Rhinolophus ferrumequinum: one gene and its partner. The protein of the gene in region 2 interacts with the protein of the main gene of each other region in a biochemical or structural test. Links are inferred from orthologs where the notes say so. Each region holds a gene or a part of one and is shown on either strand. Other genes may lie near its edges. The genes, in order: ASF1B and CHAF1B.

What was found.
Region 1: the proteins of CHAF1B (region 2) and ASF1B form a complex in vitro, tested with the Homo sapiens proteins (2 studies listed by BioGRID and IntAct). The link is inferred for Rhinolophus ferrumequinum from reciprocal best matches to the Homo sapiens genes CHAF1B and ASF1B.

Annotation. Positions count from the first base shown.
Region 1 is NC_046301.1:47,877,405-47,889,398, reverse strand, and holds the start of ASF1B (histone chaperone ASF1B), read right to left. Parts: upstream 5,782-11,994; 5' UTR 5,472-5,781; coding exon 5,363-5,471; intron 221-5,362; coding exon 105-220; intron 1-104. UniProt on the Homo sapiens protein: Histone chaperone that facilitates histone deposition and histone exchange and removal during nucleosome assembly and disassembly. Cooperates with chromatin assembly factor 1 (CAF-1) to promote replication-dependent chromatin assembly.
Region 2 is NC_046285.1:101,721,426-101,732,301, reverse strand, and holds the start of CHAF1B (chromatin assembly factor 1 subunit B), read right to left. Parts: upstream 5,383-10,876; 5' UTR 5,318-5,382; intron 4,488-5,317; 5' UTR 4,425-4,487; coding exon 4,299-4,424; intron 3,848-4,298; coding exon 3,715-3,847; intron 1,090-3,714; coding exon 972-1,089; intron 605-971; coding exon 501-604; intron 1-500. UniProt on the Homo sapiens protein: Acts as a component of the histone chaperone complex chromatin assembly factor 1 (CAF-1), which assembles histone octamers onto DNA during replication and repair.

The DNA of each region.
Region 1 (11,994 bases), on a different chromosome or scaffold from region 2:
GCCAGAATTTGAACCTGAACTTTTGACCACTGAACCATAGTGTGTGCTTTTGGGAAGAAGAGGCTATTTCTAGGTGTCAAGGCCTAAGGCCTCACCTTTCTTACCTGAAAGACAAACATGTGTCTCCCTGCTGGGACAGGGCCAACGAGCACTGAATCTAGGATTTGATCAAACTCCTCACTCTCAGCTGAGCCGACATAAATAATCTTCCACTCCAGGTCTGTAAGAACACGGGTGTTAAGGAATTGAAATAGTTTGACAGCGGGAAGGCAGGGAAAGGGTCTTCTTGGGCTAGTTTTGGACAGCAAAAGATCCTTATTCTCCACAACACCTGACATCCTCTGGGCACTAAGTGCCAGCGAGGTACTAGTCTTGAACACTGGGGCGGGCAGGAAGCTCTTACTTCCAGTGGGAAATTTCTCCTGTAGGCCTAGCTTTGCCAGGCGACCTTGACTGCACCTCTGGGGAAACTTGGGCCTCTCAAAGCCTGAGGGTGAACCGTATGGCAGAGGCTGAATTAAGACCCACGTGACAGAGGCGTGCTGAGGGAACAGAAAGGAGTTGGGTCATTTCAGGGCCCTGCTCACTGGATGCTGGGATAGGAAGCAGCATCCTCTTTCACACACAGGGATCTGTGCCACTGAATTGAGTAGATCCCTCGACAACTGGGACAGGGCGGCAGATTCCAATCCAGCAGGAGAGCCAGCCGTCAGAAGGAAGAGAAGACTGCTGGGGGAGCCAGCCTGTCCCCAAGAATTCCAGATTCGGCACCAAGTAATGTCTGTTCATGGCTATTGGGGCGATGGTGACTTAGTCAACAAATGTGGCCCCACAAGGTGATCCTCTGAACACCAACTCTCTTGCATCCCATTCAGTAGGGGGATTCCATTGCTGAGTACGTTCGGGGGAGATGCAAGGAAAAGTGCTTAAGGAGACCCTGCCTATCAATCACAGGAAATTCCCAGGGACCGCTGCCTCTTGCAGGAGGTCCAAGTGTATCAGGGGCAAGGTCACTCTAGTACAGGGAAGCTTGGCAGGAGACCTGAAACTTATTTTAGGTTCTCTGAAATTACACAACCTACTGCTCCAGCAGCTGGGGGAAGTTTCACAAGCTGTGATTTTCACAGGAAGCAAATGCTCTTGGAAGCTGCCCTGTTCCTTGGTCCACTGTCCTGCAAGTGCATCCACATTCGGAAGCACACTGATACCCGGCCATGACTAGAGGTTAGTCACCTGAGCCCCAAGCTCTTCCTCGATACACTGGCTTCCTGTCCCTTTGCAGTTTTGCCCAGAGCTACTCAGGGACCCTAGCAGGTCTGTGGGGTATGGTGACCCCCGGGGCTCACTGAGGTTCAGTCAAACTCTAGTCTCATTGTTTGCAGAGAGGATTAAATTTATAGATTTATTTTTGTTATAAGTAGTGATACACCTAGACATAACATGTTTTGGGACAAACAAAACCAGCTAACTCTGTTCTCACCTTTCTCACACAGCTCTAGATTTTGGTACCTTTCCTTCTGGCCACTCCCCCATCACCAGTGCAATCACATATGTGTACATTTAACTAATGTGCTAGAGGATGGGGAGATAAAAAGGAGACTGAAATAGAGCAGGCTAGGGGCAAGCCACAGGCACCTGATGTTCAATATTGTTAGCAAAACCTAAACAAAGACTGAGTGGGTGCTGACCGGAAGAGAAAACACTGCGTGGGCAGCCAGGCAAGTAAGTGGGCCACAATGGCTCCCTCAATAGGAAAGACACCAGAGAATTAACAGAGGACCAGAGAAATATTGACTCAAGAGTTGCAGGAGCTGATAAAATCACCTACGGAAGGCAAAAGGACCTACAAATTGGAATCATCTTCAAGTTGAAGTGTTTTAAGCTGAAGCATAAAGTGACTTCATTTTTTAATAGAACTCTTCTTTAGAATTAGAAATGGGGGGTGGCCGGTTTGCTCAGTTGGTTAGAGCGTGGTGCTGGTAGCACCAAAGTTGCTGGTTCATTCCCTGCATGGGCCACTGTGAGCTGCCCCCTCCTTAAAAAAGAATTAGAGGGCGGCCGGATGGCCCAGTTGGTTAGAGCACAAGCTCTCAACAACAAGGTTGCCTGTTCAATTCCCACATGGGATGGTGGGCTGTGCCCCCTGCAACTAAAGACTGAAAACGGCGACTGGACTTGGAGCTGAGCTGCGCCCTCCACAACTAGATTGAAGGACAACTTGGAGCTGATGAGCCCTGGAGAAAGACACTGTTCCCCAATATAAAAAAAAATTTAAAAAATTAGAAATGGGACATCAGTCACCAATACAGCATAAACTCATTCTATTGAATACAGGACAATTATATACATGTAACATGTGTACCTAACAACTGGGCAATTTCAAGGGAATTCAACTGCATTACATTTTGTTTTTATGCCCTAACCTTACGATCTAACCACTGCACAAGATGCTCCTCCACTATGAATGGAAACAAAACCAAAACCAATGCCATAAAAGACCTGTAAAATATTATTGTAGTTGAACTAGCAGAAGAAGCTGTTTCCTGCCTCTTTTTTAAAAAACTTATCTAATAGGCCTTTTTCTGTTTATCACTGTCTTTGTAATCATACAGATGAACCTTGGCCTGACCAGAGTGTTAGCTGTGGGTCAGAATATCTGGCCCCATGACTTATTCAAGCAATGTCTGTTGAACTTCTCAGGTAAATGGGGGAAAACATATGTATGTTAAATGTGGACCCATGTTTTGGAAGCATCTATTTCCAGATGCTCAGGAGAAAGAGAGCAAAAAGACCTTGGAGCCCTTGGGAAACAAGGTCAGCTGATTGACTGGGGGTTTGGGTGTCTTGTCAGATCTTCAATTGCCAGTGTCGAGATGATAAGATTAAGATTTCTCCAGGATCTGAGAGACTTCTAAAGTCAGGCCCACTCATCTTTTTGGGAGACAGGCAGGAAACTAATTCTTTCTGCTCCATGGGAAGAGGGCCAGGAAGAAGTAGAAAGCAAACTGGCAGGTCAGAGTCACAGAGAGCCCTAAGAAGAACAGAGTCTGGATTTCCAGGCTAGAGTTTGCTTTGCAACTCGAGTTTCTCTGAGCAAAATCTTTATTGTCTGGGTGTAATTAATAACAGGACACCCTTTGCTCTCTTGTGAGAGTGTCCTGATGTGGAAATAAATTCTACGATCAGTTCTATTTATGTTCCACTTCTAAAATAGAGGATGCATTCTTTCTTTCCCAGGTTATAGCAGAGATAAAAGAACCCTGGACTAAGAACTCAGAGAAAAGCCCTAGTATCAATAATTCTGCCAACCAGCTATGTGACCATGGAGTAGTCATTCTGTTTCTATTAAAAAATAGTGACCAGCAGGTTGATTTTGGATCTTTCCTACTCTGATTCTAAAAACAAGTTAGTAAAATAACAGAGCAGGGGCTTCATAGGAATAAAAGTATTAGAAAATGACCACATAACCATTTTAAAATGCAAGGAGCACAAGCAGGCTGATTGAAACCTGATCTCCTGCCATGTGGGAACTGTGAATCCCTTAATCTATTAGCTCCTTACATCTCCTCCTGGCTTTAAAATTAAATCTTATTCCAGTGTGACATTCTACACTTTATTTATTTATTTACACCCTGCCTTGTTCCAGAAAGGATTTAACTGTACTTATTCTATAGTTAGCCACAAGTAGACTCTGTAATTTAAAAAGGAGAAAAACCAGGGAGACTGAGCCCAAGCACATGAATCTCAAACTGTACCAACCCCAAACTAATCCCAGGGGCCGGCTTTGCAGGCAAACCACCCACCTACCATCAAGAGGCGCTAGTTAGTACACCCTGGCCTCACAGACCACCTCCTCAGCTGTTGCCTCTTTTCTTTAACCCAGTGAAGTGGTCTAATGGAGTACAGGCATACCTCAAAGACACTGTGGTTTGGTTTCAGACCACCGCAATAAATTGAGTAGTAATCTTTTTGCTGGTGGAAGGTCTTGCCTTTAATTTGTAAAAAATGCAACATCTGTGAAGTGTAATAAAACAAGGTATGCTTGTGCTTGTACTTCCTCTTGAAAGTGGTGCTAACACTTCCTGGGCGACCTTAGATTTTTGGATTTTTACAGATCTTTCCTTGCGAGGTCTGTCACTCTTTGTGGCTCCTGTCTTCTCATCTGTGAGATGAGAGCCATGTCCACCTTTATGTCACACAGATGAATAAGTACATCAGTGAAACCTTGGAAAAGATGCCCCAAAGGTTGTGATCCCCCAGCTGATTGCTTGAAGTTGGGTACCATCATGGCTCAGCCGGGCCCACATACCCTCCAGACTAGGTCAGACCATCAGAAGTGCCGGAGGAACTATGGCAGTAGGTCAAGCCGAAACCTGGCAGGCAAACAGTGGGAACTGGCTAATGCCTGGCTAGATCATCCTTCAGATTTGAGTGTGTTCATCGAAGTACACAGTCAGGGAGGAGGTAGGAACTGGAGCTGGGGAAACCAAGTTATCCTCAAAGACTGGAGCTAGAAGCCAGGCTATGCCTCCTCAGGTGGAGCTCAAGAATAAAGGGTTGGGGCCAGGCTAAGGAGAAGGGAAGCCAGGTTCTAGGTTACGTACTTTGGGGTAGAAAACAAGAAGTGAATGGGGTTGGTTAAATATCAGCAGGTTCTGGAGGGGATTATTGGGAGACAATGGGGAGATGGGGGTGAGTGAGGTCTTGCCACAGGAGAGGGTCTTCACAGGGAAAAAGGGTCACAGGAGGGGCTCCACTGGGAGGAAAAGGAGGGAACTTGAGGGAGAGGCCGCCACAAGGAAACTGGGGGAGGGGACTGAGGTTTCCATAAGGGAAATGGGAGGCTAGGGTTTCCGTATAAATAAAAAATGGGAGGCTGGAGGTTGGAGTCTCCATAGGAAAAAAGTGAGGCAGGAGTGTCTCACCACAGAGAGGAGGGGATGGGTGGGGGAAGACTGAGTGGGTGGAATAAAATAGAATTTTCTACACAGAAATAGGTGGGGGGTTTCTTGCTACAGGGAAGATGGGGAGGCTGAGGGTGTCCGCAAGTTAAAGAATGGCGGCGGATAAGGTCTCTACATAGAAAGCCCAGGAGCTCCACAGGAAGAAAAGGGAGCGAGGGAATGATGAGGTCTCCACGGGGGGAAACCGGAGTAACTGGGTAAGGGGGTCGGGTTGGCCGTGAGGTGGGGGTGGGAGGAAGTCTCCACGCGGAGATTGGGGCTGGCGGGGAGGGAAGTGGGGAGATCAGGGTTGGGGGTGTATTTCGAGGTCGGTGTTGGCCGCGGGAGCCTCTACGAGGAAGTCGGGTTGGCCAGGGGAACGGGAGAGGGGGGGGGAATCCATACAGGCCCAGCCTCACCGTCCGCCAGGGCCTCATTGCACTCGAAGCTGATCTCGAACCGGAAGGGGCTGTGGAAAGGGCTCGGATTCTCCAGCACGGCCACATTCAGCACCGACACCTTGGCCATCGCCTCGCCAGGCCGCAGTTCAAGCCAGAGCTGGGGCGGAGCCCACGGCTGGGTCCTGTCGGGTCAGCCGGACAGCGATGCTCACAGACTACCGCCTCCTTGGTCTGCCGACTGAACTGCGTATCTCGCCCGCGCGCCTCCTTCAAATAGCCGGCCGCACCCTCCGGCCAATCACCGTCAACGCTCCCCGGCGGCGCAAGCACCCCCTTAACCAATTCTGGAGCGCCGGGCGGCGCGCGCCGAGACTCCCTGGGCCAATCCGCTGAGCTCCCTCTTGGGGCTGCGCGTGGGAGGTGAGACCATCTCGGCTTTTTTGGGTGTCCGCCGGGAACCAATCCCCAGCGTTTCCGACTCGGATATCAAGGGCGGGGTGGGCGGAGCCAGAGCCTGTGTTCCTCTCAGCCAATGCCGAGAGTTCCCGCACCGGCGTGGCCCGCCCTTCGCCTCTCCCTTCCGGGAGACGCTACAATTCCTGAGCAGCGCCGCCAACTGCCGAGCGGTGGCGCGCGGCGCTAGCGTAAGAGGGCGGGAAGGGTGGTGCTCGAGCCAGCGGTGATTGGCAGGTAAGAAAGGAGTAAAGCAGCTTCTGTGAGATGTGATTGGCTGGGTTAGCCTCAGGGGGCGGGAGGAGAGGAAGACTCGGCTGGGGATTCGTGGGAGAGGAGCGGAAATAAGCGGCGGCGCGGTTAAGCGGGGTGTGAAGAGAAAGGAGAAGCGTTTGCTGCTTTGGCGTCTGTCGGCAGGTGATCGTTATCTGGAGCTTCTCTGAGGGCCTCTTGGCCCCTCAGGCCCAGCGGCCGGGGAGTTCGTTGTGAACGTTGTGAACGTTTGACTCACCCCTGAGGGGAGATGGAGCGGTGGTAACGCGGCGCTGGGGCGCGGACCCGGGAGTTGGCCCCAGTTCGAATCCCGCTCTCGTCCCTTCGAGGGCCGCTGGGAGGTGTCAGGTGGACAACGCTATTACTGGGAGTTCGAGTCCGGCCTCAGCCACTTAGCTCACGAGGCCACAGTTTCCCTGCTCATTGAACGAAGCCGTGAAAATTCATTGACATGATTCATGGTACATCTAGAAACTTCTCTCCACCCACATGCCGAGCTGGAGCACCGTTGGTTGCCTGGAAGACTCCAGGCACCTCAACACACACCCTCTCTGCTACCACCCACAACTAGTGGAAAAATAATTCGAGCCACATGCTTAATTTACATTTTTCTAGTAACCACGTTAAAAAAAGTTTTAAAAAATATTAACTTTAATATGTTGCATTTAATCCAGTATAAACAAAATATTATTTCAACAGGTGATGGGTGTAAAAAATACAAATGAGACAGCTTACATTTTTTACTGGGTAGTAAGGCTGCGAAATCCTGGGTGTTTTACACTTATGAGTACAGCTATGTTTTCATTAGAAAGAGTTGGTCTGGCTTTAAGTTTTATAAAACTTAACAGTTGAAAATGTAGATTCACATGTCCAAGCTGTTCCCAACATACTTAAAAGTTTTCCATGAGCTCAATCACATGCAGGTTTTTAAATTGAAATGTTAATTGATTAAAATTGAGTGACATGGAAAGTTCTGTTTCAGGGTGGCACTAGCTATTTTCAGGTGCTCATAGCCCCTGTGGCAAGTGGCTACTGTATTATTATTGGACAGTTCAGGTCTGAAATTGAATCAGTCATCCTCCTGCATATAACGTGAGTGATTTTCTATCGTTCCCAGGAAACTATGCCCCCCCCACACACACCCAATCCTACCCTTCCCTGGCTTCACTTTAATGGTAAATGGAAATTCTAGAAATAAACAATTCATAAGTTCTAAATAGCGCACCATTCTGAGTGTTGTGAAGAAAGATGAAATCTTGTACTAGCCTGTGCTATCGAGGAGGTGAATCATTCCTTTGTCCAGCATATCATAGAGACCCCCACATTCACATAACTTTTATTACAGTATATTGTTATAATTCTATTTTATTATTGTTGTTAATCTCTGACTGTGCCTAATTTATAAATTAAACTTTATCATAGGTATGTATATATAGGAGAATATATAGGCTTTGGTACTATCCAGGGTTTCAGGCATCCACGGAGGGTAGGTCTTGGAATGTGTCCTCCTCTGGTAAGGGGGCACTACTGTATTGTCTTTAAGACTACATGCTTTGTTTCCCACCAGCCCCAGCTTCAGTCTAGCCAAACTGACCCCCTCTTTGTTCCTTAAAAATCTGACATGGCATTCCCTGCGCAGAGTCTCTACCTAGAATCTGTTCTCCCAGTTCTTGGCATGGCTGGTGCCTTCTTGTCATTTACGTCTCTCTGTTCAAATGTCTTGTCAGAAAAGCTTTACCAACAGTCCTCTGGACAGTGTTAAAACTCACAGAGAGTAAGCCTGAATAGACTGGTCCAAGTCACTAGCATTTCTTATCTAGCAACTTCTGTGGCCTCCCTAGAATCTTACAGCCTCATAATGCTAGGTATGTTTTTATAGCTACATCTCAAGTAAAAAAAAAAACAAAAAAAACACAACTTTTTTTTGCATTTAAAAAAATTGAGACCTCTCCCCAAAAACTATTTGGCTACAAGAAAATTCACATTTGTAATGCCTGTGATTTCTTGGCAACCATTGGGCATAGTTGCAAGTTTTTGTGATTCTAGAAAATCTAATTTTCAAATTATTTTCAAATGTAATTCAGTTGCTTATGAATACTAAATTTAATGATGAATAAAGTTGCCATAATGTTACATTTTTCTAGATGTTTAATTAAACAGTTATTCATTCCAACTTTGTAGTTTTCTTTTTACATTGTGGAACTTTGTTTCCCTTTATCCCTAGCCCCAACCTTTTCAGCTGATTAGCTGAAAAGCTAATCAGCCACAAGCATTATGTCTGTGGTGCCAATGAAAAAAATGGCCCTGTCTGTAATGCGTTATGCGTACAGCTGGCTGAATAATCTTCAATTGTAAACCAGATCATGTTATTACCCTACTTAAAACCTTCAAAAGGCTTATCATACTTAAAATGAAACTTAAGATCTTTACTGTGGCTTAGGAGGCTCTGCATGGTGGCCTTAGCTGACCTCTCAGGCCTCATCTACAGTCTCCCTCTTGTCACCACTCTCAAGCCCAACTGGCTTTATTTCCTGTCTTTCAACAAACCAAGCTTATTCCTGCTGTAGGGCTTTGCACTTGCTGTTCCCTCTTTCTGGAATCTGCTTTCTTCAAATAATTGCATGGTTGTCTCATTCAAATCATTTATGGTTCAACTCAAATGTCAAACCTTCCTGGACCACCCTAGTTCAAGTTGCCCTTCCTTAATCACGTCACCCAGTTTTATCTTAGGGGCACTCAGAATCTGTACTTATGTTGGTTTTAAGTTGTGCTTGTTATTTCCCATCATCCCTCAGTAGACTGAAAGGTTAAGGGCAGAGCTCTCACCTGCTTCATGTTGACCTCTCAGTGTATTTCTAGAGGTTGGCACAGGGCCTCGCACATAGAAAGTCTTCAGTAGGTTTTTTAAAAAAGGATAAATCCATATAAAGGGCTTAGCATAGTACCCGGAATGTAAAAAGCACGCAATAAACATGAACTGTTATATATAATAAGCAGGTAAGTCTGTATTCTCCTTATGTAATATTTCAGGTGCACACACTTGAAAAACTCTAAGAAATACTATGACAAAATACACTTTTACTCATTACCCAGCTGAAGAAGTAAAACATTAGTGATGCATTTGAAAGGCCCTTTCTCAAACCTGCTCCTCTCCCGTTTTCCTCCAGTGTTACTGCAACCCTGGATTTGGTGTTTATTTTTCTGTGCATGTTGTGCATCTTTATATGCATGTGTCTTTTATTGTAGTGTGTCATGTTCTACAATTTTATATAAATGATATCTATGCAAAAAAGAGTTAACCTAAGAGGCCTGAGACAGCTATTCTTAGAAAGGCCTATTGGCAAAGCTGGCCTTTGGCTGGTGTCTAGGAACTTGGATTTTAGGAGGGTTCCCAGCAGTCTCTAAATGGTAAGAGTGGCTTATGGTGCTTAAACTATTTGTACAGTGTGGTTTATGTTGAACACCTGCTTTCTTTCTGAAGTCTGGAATTCTGGTATTTGACCAACCCCCAATAAGTACCTTAGCACTGAGCCTCTAATAGGCTTCCCTGGTAGACAACATTTCACACGAGTTGTCACAGCTCTGCTGCAGGAACTAAGCGCGTCACATTTGACACCAGTAGGAGAGGACTCTTGGAAGCTTGTGCCCGGTTTCCTCCAGACTTTAGGCCCCTTGTGCCTTTCCCCTTGGTTGATTTTGCTTTGTACCCTTTTGTTGTAAGAAATCATAGCCATGCATACAGTTATATGCTAAATCCTGCGAGTCTTCCTAGGGAATCATTGAACCTGGGGGTGATCTTGGGGAACCCTGACACAGTATCATACTAGATAGATCCTGACAGGGCTGGAACTAGGGTAAGGCAAGGAAAGCACGTAGGGCACAAAATTTAGGAGGTGCTCACTCTCAGGGTCGCTCAAGTGTCCAATTTGCACTTGTATGACCCTGAGGGTAAGTACCTCCTACAGTTTTCACCCTAGGCACCTAACTTCCTTCACTCTAGACCTGCCCTACCGTCTGAAACTTGCTTTTTTTTGGTCCAACATAATGCTTTTGAGATTTATCCATGTTGACACATGTATATAGCTCTAATTCATTTATTTTCACTGCTGCATAGCTGTGCTATCTGATGTAGCCAGTAGCCACATGTGGTCATTTAGATTTCAATTAATCAAAATTAAATAAAATGAAAAATTCATTTCCCCAATCACATTAGCCATATTTCACATGCTGGATAGGCACCTGTGGCTAATGGCTACTGCATTGGACAGCATGGACAGAGATCACTTCCATGATCACAGAAAATTTTGTTGGACAGTGTTTATGTACCCATTCACCTCTTGGTTAATATTTAGGTTTCCAGCTTTCACCTGTTACAAACAGTGTTGTTGTGTATGTCTCCCTGTGCATACATGCAGGATTTTCTCTAGGATACGAACCTAGGAGATGAATTGCTGGCTTATGGGTTATGGGAGTATTCACCTTTGCTAGATATTGACAGTTTGCTCTTCAAATAGATCATCGTGATTCCCACTCCTACCAGCAGTGTTGCTATTGCTCAGTGTCCTTATCAACACTTCGTATTATCAGACTTTTACGTTTTTGTCCTTCCGATGGGTGTGAATTAGGTTTCAGTTTGCATTACTCTGATTACTAGTGTTGAGCTGTTTTTATATATATATATATATATATATATATATATATTTGGGGAAGGGGAACAGGACTTTATTGGAGAACAGTGTGTACCTCTAGGTTTTCCAAGTCAAGTTGTTGTCCTTTCAATCTTAGTTGTGGAGGGCGCAGCTCAGCTCCAGGTCCAGTTGCCGTTGCTAGTTGCAGGGGGCACAGCCCACCATCCCTTGTGGTAATCAAGGAATCGAACTGGCAGCCTTGGGGTTGAGAGCCCACTGGCCCATGTGGGAATCGAACCAGCAGCCTTCGGAGTTAGGAGCATGGAGCTCTAAACGCCTGAGCCACTGGGGGCCTGCCCATTTTCATACGTTTATTGACCATTTGCCTTCTGTGAATTGCCTTTTCATATCTTTGCCCATTTTCCTGCTGGGTTTTCTTCGTCTTACTAAGTTTAGGAGTTCTTTCTCACATCTGAAGTTTGCCTTTTCATTTTTATGGTGACTTTTGATGTTCAAAATTTATTATTTTAATGTCATCAGAATTACCAATCCATGTATATTTTGTGGTTTTTGACCCTTGTTTAAGAAATCTTATCCTGAGGTCAATAAGATATCTTACTGTGTTTTATCCTGGAAGTTTTACTTTTCATATTCATCTTTAAAAAATAAAATCTACCTGGACTTTATTTTTGTTTATGATGTGAGGTAGGACTGTGATTTAATTTTTCCACGTGATCAACCAGTTGTACCAGACCCATTTGTTGAGTAGTTCAATGGTTCTCAAAATGTGATCTCCTGGGATCCCCAAAACCCTTTTAGGAGATCCAGGAGATAAACCATTGTCATAATAATTTGAAGGAGTTGTTTCCCTTTCTCATTTGTGCTGTGTTGTCATGTGCACTATTGGTATAAAAGCAATGGTGGGTAAAACTGTTGGCATCTTAGCAGGAATCAAGGTAGTGTCACCAAACTAGCAGTAGTTATTATTGTATTCCTCGCCGCCACACACTCCAACATAAAACAAAATACTTTCACTTAAGAATGTCCTTGAAGAAACAGTGAAAAGTATAACACATAACACAATTATGTGTTAAAGCTTAGCCCTGCAACAGATCTTTCTAATATTCTGTGTGGTGAAATGGGAAGTTTTCATAGAGTACTTCTATTGCATGCTGAAGAATGATGGTAATTGATAATACAATTGTTTGAGTTGAGGTGAAACTGGTGACTTTTTTTTCATGTAACACCATTTATACTTGAAAGACAGACTGGTTACTCAGATTAGGGTATTCAGCA
Region 2 (10,876 bases):
GCCTTTGGAATTTCACGCTCTTTTTACACTGTAATTTCTCAGTGTGTACGTCTGCCCAGCTAGAGAGCAGGTTCTCGAAAAGCTGTGAGGTGTGCTGGGCTTTCTTTGATCGTCTAAAATGGAAAGCTGATCCTACCTACCCTGACACGCAGATTTCAGTGCCCCCATTAGTTGTGACTTGCTGACCTTCCCAAGATCCTAAGCTCCACGAAGGCAGGGATCAGCCCTGCCCCCATCAGGGACGCATCCCCAGGCCTGTGGGACCCACCTTGCTCTGGCACCAGTCACTCACGACACCACTGCTAAGCCTCATACACTCTGCCTGGGACCCTAAAACTGAGCTGGATCGTGGCATGTGGGCGAATCCCTAACCTGTCGTGCCAAACACCTATTTTAGCTCACTAAAGACACTCTTCTTACTCCTTTAAAGACAATGGGGGCAGTCTTTTTAGACACTTAAAATATTCCTTCCCCTGATAGTAACAAAAACATATAGCTACCTTTACTGACATCCCATATGATGGCGGTGTTATCCACGGAGGCAGAAGCCATGAAATTCCCATCAGATGCCCAGCAAATATCATACACATCTTCTAGGTGGCCCCTAGAATCCGAAGAGGAAAAAGATGGGAGAAGGGAGAGGAAAAACTATCAAAAATGTACAGGCAAACTCAGGGACCACACATTAGAACGGGATATTAGAAATTTCCATTGGGAACTGTATTCGCTATAGCTACACTCCACTACCTTCAAGGATAGTTGTAGCTTTAAAACAGACTCAATTTTACTAAGGGAAATTGTACAGCAGAAACTAAGAAAATCCATTTTAATCATGCTTTTCTCTTTTAAAGCTCTTCTCTCTTATTTCTTTCTTGCATAAGTCAAAGTTTCAAGCAAGATCTGGAAGTCAGAGTGCGTTTCAGGCAGAGGCACTGAGGGCAGGACCACGCCCACAGCCCCCCCCAGGGTACCTCAGGGTTTTCACCACCGTCCAGTTCTCCTTATTCAGCTGAGCCTCATCCTCATCCTGAAAAGCAACCTGCTCGGGCTCCTTGTTATCATTCACCTTCCACAACAGAATGACAGCATCTGTGGAGTGAGTCAAGTCAAGGTGAGCGGTGCTTCTGAAGGCATATCATCGCCTCCACAGCTAAGGCACTGGCAAACAGACCAGCTGGCAGGGAGGAGCTGGGCCTCCTCACGATGCCCACCTGACCTGTCAAGGACAGGCACTAGGTAGCTGATAATTTGTAGCTGTGACTTCTCTGGGGCGGGAATGGAAGCGGGGTGGGGGTGCCAGGCCCCAGCTTTGTTCCCTGGTCCCCTGTAGCCTGCAGAAGTGTTCAGTGAAGGGAAAGGCGGGAGTGGATACAAGTGGGGAGCTCTAAAACGACAATTAAAGAAAAAGAAGCCATGCTCTATTATAGCACACCCCTTCACGTCTGGAGTTTTAGGGCATTAAGTAATATTTATGTTGTTCAATAGACACGATGGCCACAAGGATTGACTTCTCAGAATGCAGACAAGAAAAACAGGTTTGCCTATAGAACTAAAACTCCAAAATCAAACTTATGCCAGATCAGAGCTATACAAAGTCACCTGAAACAGAAGGGTCCCAAGGCCAGCAAAACACCACTGCAAAGCGACTGACTACATTAACAAATCTAAAGGCATAACCTATAAATGACTGAATAGGAAAAAAAAACAACAGCAAAGAGCCACCAACACAAGAGTTGGCAGATCGTTCCTAGCTGCGTACTTTTAGCAAGTCACTTAATGCCTCAGTTTCCTCACCTGTAAAATGGGGATAACAGGATACCTACCTCAGAAGGCTATTTGAGGATTAAATGAGTACATATGCATAAAGCACTCACAACACAATGCCTGGCACATGGAGAGCCCATAGATGTGTCAGCTATTGAGATCACGGACACATCAGATACCTTAGCTTGATGTCATCAATTGTCTGAGTCCTCTGACTCCCACGTTCTGTTCTGACTCCACACTCACCACAAAACCTGACCGTGCCCTGGCTTCCCTTTGAGGAACGCCTGCAGGAGGAGAGTGAATGAAATGGTTGGCTATGTGGACACCTGCGGTCTCATTTTAAATTAACTGGAAGCCTGGGAGTTTGGCTGAGAGAAGACTGGCCCCACAGATGGACGCTCTCCACATGCTGACTAACAACAGCAGGTTTCTGAGCCAAAGGACTTTGTATAACGAGTGCTGGCGAGACCTTTCTGATCTCGCCGGAGCCAGCCCACTGGCCTCCCCAGGTGGTGTTCCCCACTCACCACCTCTCCCCTCCCAGGACATCATGGCACTGAATCTAATAACCAGGTCTCTTTTCCTCCTGTAAACAAAATCTGAGATTTTTGTTTTATTTTGTACTGACTTCTAGAATGTTCTATTGTTAAAGCATGGTAAAAAGATTTACTTTTTCTGTATAGTCTGAAGAGTGAAGATAGAGAATATATAAAATGGAGTCCCTTTAACCAAGGTGTTAAAATTATTAACGTTATGAAGGTTGAGGCATGAGGAAGGACTATTCTTGTTGTACCTAGCCTAGAAACTCAAACTTTTTTAACTTTCCAGTCCTGTCAATGCCTGGATATTCATCTGAATATACACCAGACCTCCAGATAACTTTCTGATCGCCCACTAAAGGACTCATATATCCAGGCCACCATACATCCAGTATCCAGACTGCCAGGCATGACCAAACCTCATGGTGCACATCCTCTAGCCCACCTGACATCCATCAGCCAGACTGCCAGACACCTGAGTGACAACCGTCCTGGACCAATCCTAGGCCTGAGAAGGCAGGACTGAGAATTCTCAAGAATGTACTTTTGGGGCGGCAGGGTGGCTCAGTTGGTTAGAGCGCGAGCTCTCAACAAGGTTGCCGTTTTGATTCCTGCATGGGATGGTGGGCTGCGCCTCCTGCAACTAAAGATTGAAAATGGCGCCGGGACTTGGAGCTGAGCTGCGCCCTCCACAACTAGACTGAAGGACAACGACTTGACTTGGAGTTGATGGGCCCTGGAGAAACACACTGTTCCCCAATAAAAATTAAAAAAAAAAAAAACCCTAACCCATTTTAAAAAAAAAGAATGTACATTTGACTTCTCTTTCCATTTTGGAACACTCCTGGGATTTTGCCTAGCTTTGTTCCCAGTGTGCCAACTCTAAGACCCTTGAATAAAGCTCTATCATTTATTTGTAGCCAAAGCCTCCAGACTCTTTCTGAGTTTGCTCAACAAGTTTTATGCCATTTAAGTAAAAGCAGAAAGTAGGAATCAATCTACTTCTCCCAAACAATTTACAGGGCCATTTGGACAATAGTCCCTAAGCCAATTAATTGTACGGAAACATGGAAGAGACTGTGACCACTTACATATACTAAACTAACAATCAAGCCCAGATAGAACAGTTGCCTTGGGACTCTGACAGAATGGTAAACACCTTCCTACTTGCCTGCAAACCAGCCCAGTGGGAAAGGGGCCATTTTCAAATAGGTCTTCTCAGCTTAAGCTTGTTGTCCTCCACCCATGCCTGCTCCCCAGAACATTATTTCACTAACCTATTTCAATAATAGATTGAGAACGTCAAGCAACCTCTAAAATAAAAAAGCCATCTAAGCTCAAATCTCACTATTTAACACGTGACACCTGGGTATGTGTTTTCTAAAGAGTTTTGAAGTGCAATACTCACCATCTCCTCCCGATGCTAAAATTTCCCCACTTGGAGAAAAACGCACGACATTGACAACTTTGGTATGGCGAGCAAGATTGGACAAAAATTCAACAATGGCCTTTCCATCTGGTCCTTTTTCTACCTTCCAGATCTGTTGGTACCAAAACATTCATTCAGAGAAACACAGAGTGAGCACCTACCATAAGATGCATACTAAAACAGTACTACGCTTACTTTCAGGGTGGAAACTTAGTTTTTCTTTTGCAACATAAAATGAAGAAACTTCTTTCTGAAACAAACCCATGGTCCCACTGCCTGTAGTCTTCCCTCCTATCTCTTTCTAGCGCAGACTCTTCCCCAATAGGAATCTGGCTCAGGATTTTAAAATAATGGGCGTCCAGTTATGTCAATCTAAGAAATATTACCCAAGGAAGAAATCTGCTTTCTTTTGCTTTCATTGTTCACTCAAGACCCGGAGAACCTATCCCTCTGGACTAGATGAGGAAGTAGTTTGAGTTGCATAACATCAGTTTTACATAAAAGATTGGAGAATGCTGCTTCACTGGTGCTTCTCTGTGCCTTTCTATCTCTGCCAGATTTACCCTAACAGTGGTGTCCACCCCTGCGGACGCCAGTTTGTGGATCCTCCCGGCCGCGCCATGCTGGAAGTCCAGGCTGTACACAGGTTCCTTGTTGTGCCAGGCTATTTCACAAGTGATGACTTTCATCCTCCTGAGTCTTGAAGGGGCAACAATATTCCTCGCACACCGTTCTATTTCCAGACAGGAAAGCTGAAAATCGTTGGAAATGGATATAGCAGGAAAGGACAAAGATTTGTGTACCTGTGTTGATACACCTTGAATCCCCCAGGTGTATTCAACATTTATTATGAACCAGGAATCCTGCTAAAACATTAAAACGGTAAGCTGTACTGGGAAAGGATGTTAATGTTGACCTGTGACGTAACACCTTGCGAGTTCTACCTCGCCTGTTAAATCTGTTCTGCTGCTACCGAAAAGCAAAAAGGAACCCTCAGGCAGAGAAGTTAAAGGGGCTGGGGCTGGCTGCGCAACCGCCCCCCCCCTTAGTGGGGATTGGCGAGCGCGCCTGGAGAACCAGGGGCCGGGTCCTCCAGGGGAGGGGGCTGTGCGGAGGGGGACGCAGTAGTAGGGTGCGACCCGGAGGAGGAGACCCGGGCCGCTGGACACCCACACTTCCCAGGAGCCCGGACGCCCGTGGGAGGGAGCTGTTCGGGGGAGGGGCCCCAGAGGGACAGGGCGGCCAAGGGGGAGGTGGGGGCTGCCGGGTAAAGGGTCCGCAGAGGGAGGGAGCCGCGGCCGCGGGGGGAACCCCACTTCCCACAGTCGGGGCCTCCCAGGGCAGAGGACCCGCCCTTCCCAGGCCTCGCGGGACAGGGCGGTCTGCCGGGGAAGCCAAGAGCGGGTTTAGCTGGGAGACCACGCGGGGCAGGGGCCTTGGCGGGAACTGGCCGCCTAAACGCGCGCCGCTCTGGAGCTATCCCGGGCCCCTGCAGCCTGCCCTCGGCGAGAGTCTCTCGCTCCCGCCCCGCCCGGACCGGAGACCCAAGGGGACAAGCAAGCCAGATCCGCAGAAAACATACCTGCAGGGACGCGTCCAATTCAGCAGCGCCTTGGCGCGCGCGGTTTCCCGCGCGCCGCAGGCCGCGCCCCCGAGTGGGCGGGGCTTCAGGACGCCCCGCCTGCCCGCCCTAGCACACTGGGTTGGTCCAGCCGGGGCTGAGTCGTTCCATTGGGGCTAGTTCCTGCCGGCTCACTAATTCCCCGCTGGACCCAGGCACCGGAGAAACAATGGGGGTAGTTCATTCACTCGTTAGTTCCATAACTTCTTCCTTGTAGATTCAGTCTTTTAGCAAAATTTACTCATCATTTGCTATATGCTGGACCTTGTGCGGTCGCCGGATACACAATGGATCGCGAAGCTGACTTAGACTTACCCTCAGGGAATTTACAGTCCGGTAGAAGGAAGGGAAGAGTCGTCCTGTAGGACAGGTGGGAAGGCTGTAACTCTGAGATCCTCCCAAGACTACCAAATCTCTTACTGGTGCAGCAAATATTAGGTTGGTGCAAAAGTAATTGCGGTTTTTGCAATTTTTTTTTTTTTAACCTTTTAAACAGCAATTACTTTTATACCAACCTAATGTTTGAGAGCTGTAACCTGTATCAGGCCGTCTTGGTCTCTAGAATTCCAAACATCAATAAAACACAGAGACTGTCTGTAGTCAGGTACACACGTATAATAAAAAGTGAAAAGCAGCGTGAAAGGAACGATATGCTCTTACAGTTCTGAGGACGATTTTATTTTGGATTTGAAGGCTCAAAGGAAGTTTGAAGAGAAGGGGGCGTTTAAAGGGGGTTTCAGGTGCTGGAGTTTGGGATGAGCAGCTCTGGGAAATGGGGATTCAAGCTAAAGAAATTCAGTGGACAACAGAGGCACAAAGTGGGAGCAGTGAGCCCTGCAAAGGGAAAGGATGGGTGGGGCAATGACCCAGAAGCCTCTGGACGTGAATGAGCAGGTCAAATGGACACGTGCGTTTCAAAGGCAATTTTAATTCTCATTCTAAATTAATTGGAATCCTGATTGCATACATTAGTCTGGGAGCTTGGTGGACATGAGGTTGGCCCTGACAGATGGACACTCTCCCTGTGGGGACTAACAGGTTTCTGGGCCTTCAAAGCCAGGGGACTTTGCAAAACCCCCTGCAACCTGCAGAAGAAAGCCTTCCACATGTGACTCGCCCTCTCCCCACCTTTCCCCTCTTTTCTCTCTGGATTATCATGGCACTGAAATCAACCAGGTCTCCTTCTCCCTTTGCAAACAAAAAGTGAGGTTTCTTTTTTATATATTGGCTTCTAGAACACTGGAGAGTTCAAAGCTATGGGATTGTTCAGTAACTGGATTGCTTACATTATACCCCAATTAGCATATGTGGTTATAAACACTTTTTAAAAACTGAATTTAACATTTTAAAGGGAGAAATTGATGCAGCAAGCCTTTTGAAATGGGATAATTTTCCAAATGGGTCAGCTTGCCAGTGAGCTTCCTTGAGTCAGGAAACAAATACCTTGAGAAGCATAGTCTTTACTTGATAAAAGGAAGATACAGGTTCATCTGAGAAGCCAACTCTTCCTGGCATTTTTAGGGAAAAGAATTGACATGGATTCTTCTTACATAGGTGCTGGTTGAAGCTTTGAGCCAGTTTTATGATATAGAAATAGTCTACAAAATGGATGTCTCATGTTGACAAGAATGAGGCTCCTGAAGTTTTGTTTCTACAGGAAGCTCGGGATAACATAATCCAGATATGTAGCTTTTAGATGTTCTTGCTTAAATCATGACTAGGATTTACAGAGCTTGGACTGGGAACGACTAGTATGTACTACAAATAATCTGGCTGTTTTAAAAGTAGATTCCTGGCCCTATCTGGGCCCACTGATTCAGACTACCCAACAGGGAGATCCAGGGGTCTGCCTCTTCACAAGCTCCCAGGAGAGTCTGATCATCAGTCTGATTTAGAAAGCCCGGGATTCAATGTCTCTTATAACTCTCAGGTTTCTCCAAATTTCTGAGCAATGCTATCGATTCACAAATGAATCCTCTGACAATCTCCTGAGGTGCCAGGATTCTAGACTGGATTAAAAAGATAAGACACATGCTTAGGTACTAAATATACATGAAGGAGTTTGCTTTCTTGTTGAAAATTTTTGCAACCTGACGTCAATTCCTGCTTTGTGGGCCATCACATGCAGAAGCTGGTGGCCTAGAGTGGGGCCCTGGGCTGTGCTAAAAGTTTTCTCAAAAAAGAAAAGTAAAAGAATTTGGTTGAGACCTCAGAGCTTTGCCCTGGACTGGATGAAAGAAGTTCTACAGCATCAACAACCACTCACCTCCAGTTTGGGCCAGAGTACTGATTTTAGCAGAATTACATGACTCTAAGTGGGCCAGTGTTATTTGGTCTCCCAAGAACTTTATAGTGAAAATGAACATAAAGGGAATAAATCTTACCTTGGCTTTAAAAACCAAATAACAAAGACTTCTCTGAACCCACTTCTCTACAATTTCCTTTTCTAAATGTGACAACTCTGGAATAAAAATATGAAGTCAGTTAGTCCCCATAAAACATTATTAAAGAATGGCAAATAGGAGTGCACAAAAATACTTAACAGCAGGAAGTTCAATACTGGGTTGGGAAAAGATGTTGAGCAAATTTTATCACAACAAAAGACAGGAAAAATAGGATACAAAGTTAGAAATCAGCACAGAATGCACAAGACCTCTGGCACACTGCTGATGAGTGTAAAATGATACAAATTACTACAGACACAATGTTCTTGTCCCTCCAAAATTCCTATTTTCAATCCCGTGCAATGTTAGAGGTGGGGGCCTAGGGAGGTAGTTGCATGAGGTCACGGGGGTGAAGACCCCATCATGCTATTGGTGCCCCGATAAGGGGATTAAGAGACTAGACGGACTCTCCCCACTCCCTTTCCTTTGGTATGCCGCGACAGACAGTGAAAAGAGACATCTACAAACCAGGAAGAGTGCCTCAGATACTGCATCTGTGGGTGCCTTGATCTTGGATTTCCTAGCCCCCAAAGCTGTGAGAAATGTGTTTGTTATTTAAGCCACCTAGTCTAGGGTATTTTTCTTATAGCAGCCTAAGCTAAGACAAATACTTCAGGCAACTGTTCAGCAGTTTCTAGTAAAGTCAAAGATATCTATCCTACGATCCAGCAATTCCACTTTTTAGTATATATGTAAAAAAAATGAAAGCAGACTTGCACGAGAATGTTTATAGCAGCTTTATTCATAAACCAAAATTGGAAAGACACTAAATACCCATCAACAGAAGAAAAGATAACCAAACTGTGAAATATTCATACAGTGGAATTCTATTGTGATCAAAAAGAAATGCTGACACATGCAACACCATGGATGAAGCAGCATTATGATGGAATAAAAGGAATTATTTCAAGTGATTGACAAGCACAGAAATGTGGTATCTCAAAGAAAGCTTGAACTTCTTCAGTATCCTATGACAAGGATATTGGTATTGTTACATATGTATATGAGTGCATGTGTTTATATCTGGGAAAAGCAAATAATTGTGGTTAGGAAAACAAATTAAGCCTCTAAATTGGCAATACTGGCATATATTCAATATATATTTTCTCTTTTAGAAAAATGAAGGATTTCCTAGCTCAGTCCACTCAAGGCCTAGAAGAAATGCCCAAACAAGCAAAGAATGTAGGTATCTGTGCCTAGATTATGGTCTCTGAATAACATTCTCCATGAAAAGAACCACAGCTCCTTGGAGGAATGGCTGTTTCCCAGTCTAGAACAGAAAATGTATCAGATGAGCCTCAAACACCTCATTATACCAGAAAGCAAGAAAATCAAAGACTACTAGGATTATATACTAAAGACAGGAGCCAATTTGAAGAGATCTCCAGCCAAAGCGAGACAATTTAACGTTGGAAAATTGCCACAATGGATTGAGACACAGTAAATGTTGAAATACACAAGTTTCTATTAGCAATAGCAACACCACCAAAAACTGTTGGCTGTATTTGGAAGGTATTTGGGAAACAAGCCAGGAGTCAAACATTTATTCTGCCTATTCTATATGAACTGTACCTTAGGATAACTAAATAGGTTTGCTTTATAGATTTCCCACCAGCTCAAAAAAAAAAAAAAAAAAAGAGTATCACCATTTCACAACTCATAATAAAATAATGGATCTAGGTGTGATTATTAATGGATGCTAAAATCCTTAGGTAATAGACTGATAGGGAACTTTATAATAAATAGACTGGGTTGACACCATCTAAACTGATTAATCTTAATAAAAGGAGACAAATGTACATTATGTACCTCTTAGTGTGATGCAATAGGAAGAACAAAGTAACACCTAAGAAAAAGAAAAAAGAACTTGAATCTGATTAACAATGTCGATCTAACTACCACTTTATAGGAAATACGAGATATTTTTTAAAAATTCAATGATATCAAAATGAGGGAAATGCTGAAAGAAAAATGTTGATTTCTTCAATGACTAAAAAAAGGAAGGACCTACAGATTTAAAGAAACCTGAGAGATATAGCAAAGAAATGTAATGTGTGGATTCTGTTTGGATCCCAAGTTAAACAAAAGCAGCTGGAAAAATAATTAAGAAGTGACCAAAGAAATTTGAACACTGACTAGATATACTAAAGAATTATCAATAGTTGAGATATAATAACAGTATTATTTTTGTGCTTTAAAATTCTCATAAAATCTAAAATGAAAACTTTAAATCTGATTATTTGAGATAATTTCATGTTTAGAGATATTTTTTGTTTAGAATTTACTTCAAAATGGGAGGGGCAATAGAGAATAGAAAACACAACAAAACCAAAAGTTGGTTTTGTGCAAAGATCAACAAAACAGACACCTTTAGCTAGAATGAGGGGAAGAAAACGAATACTCAAATTACTAGAATCAGAAAAGAAAGCAGGGACATTATTATTGATGTTATGGAAATAAAGATTATGGAAATGAAAATAGAATACTATGAACAAGTGTACGCGTATGTACCCAAAAGAAAGGACTCAGTTACACAACAATGTTCATAGCAGCATAACTTTTAATAGCAAAAAATTGAAACCAACCCAGACGTCCGTGGATGGATGAATGGATAAACAAATTGTGGTCTATACATACAATGGAATATTTTTCAGCCTTAAAAAGGAATTTAATCGAGATAGGCAATAACATGAACCTTACAAACTTCACACAGTGACATAAGCCAGATACAAAAGGACAAATATTTTGTTTCCACTTATATAAAGTATCTAGAATAAGCAAATTCAAAGACAGAACCTAGAGGTTACTACAGGCTGGAGGTAGAGGGGAATGAAGTATTGTTTAGTGGATACAGTTTGGGATGTCGAAAGTTCTGGAAATGGTGGTGGTTGCACAACATGAATGTACTCAATGCCACTGATTCATACACTTAAAAATGGTTGAATGGTGTCAAACCTGTACAGTGTAAAACACCAGAGTGAACCCTACTGTCATCTACGGACTTGGGGTGATGATGTGTCAGTGCAGGTTCTTCAATGCGGATGTTGAGAAAGGGGGAGGCTGTGCATGTGGTAGT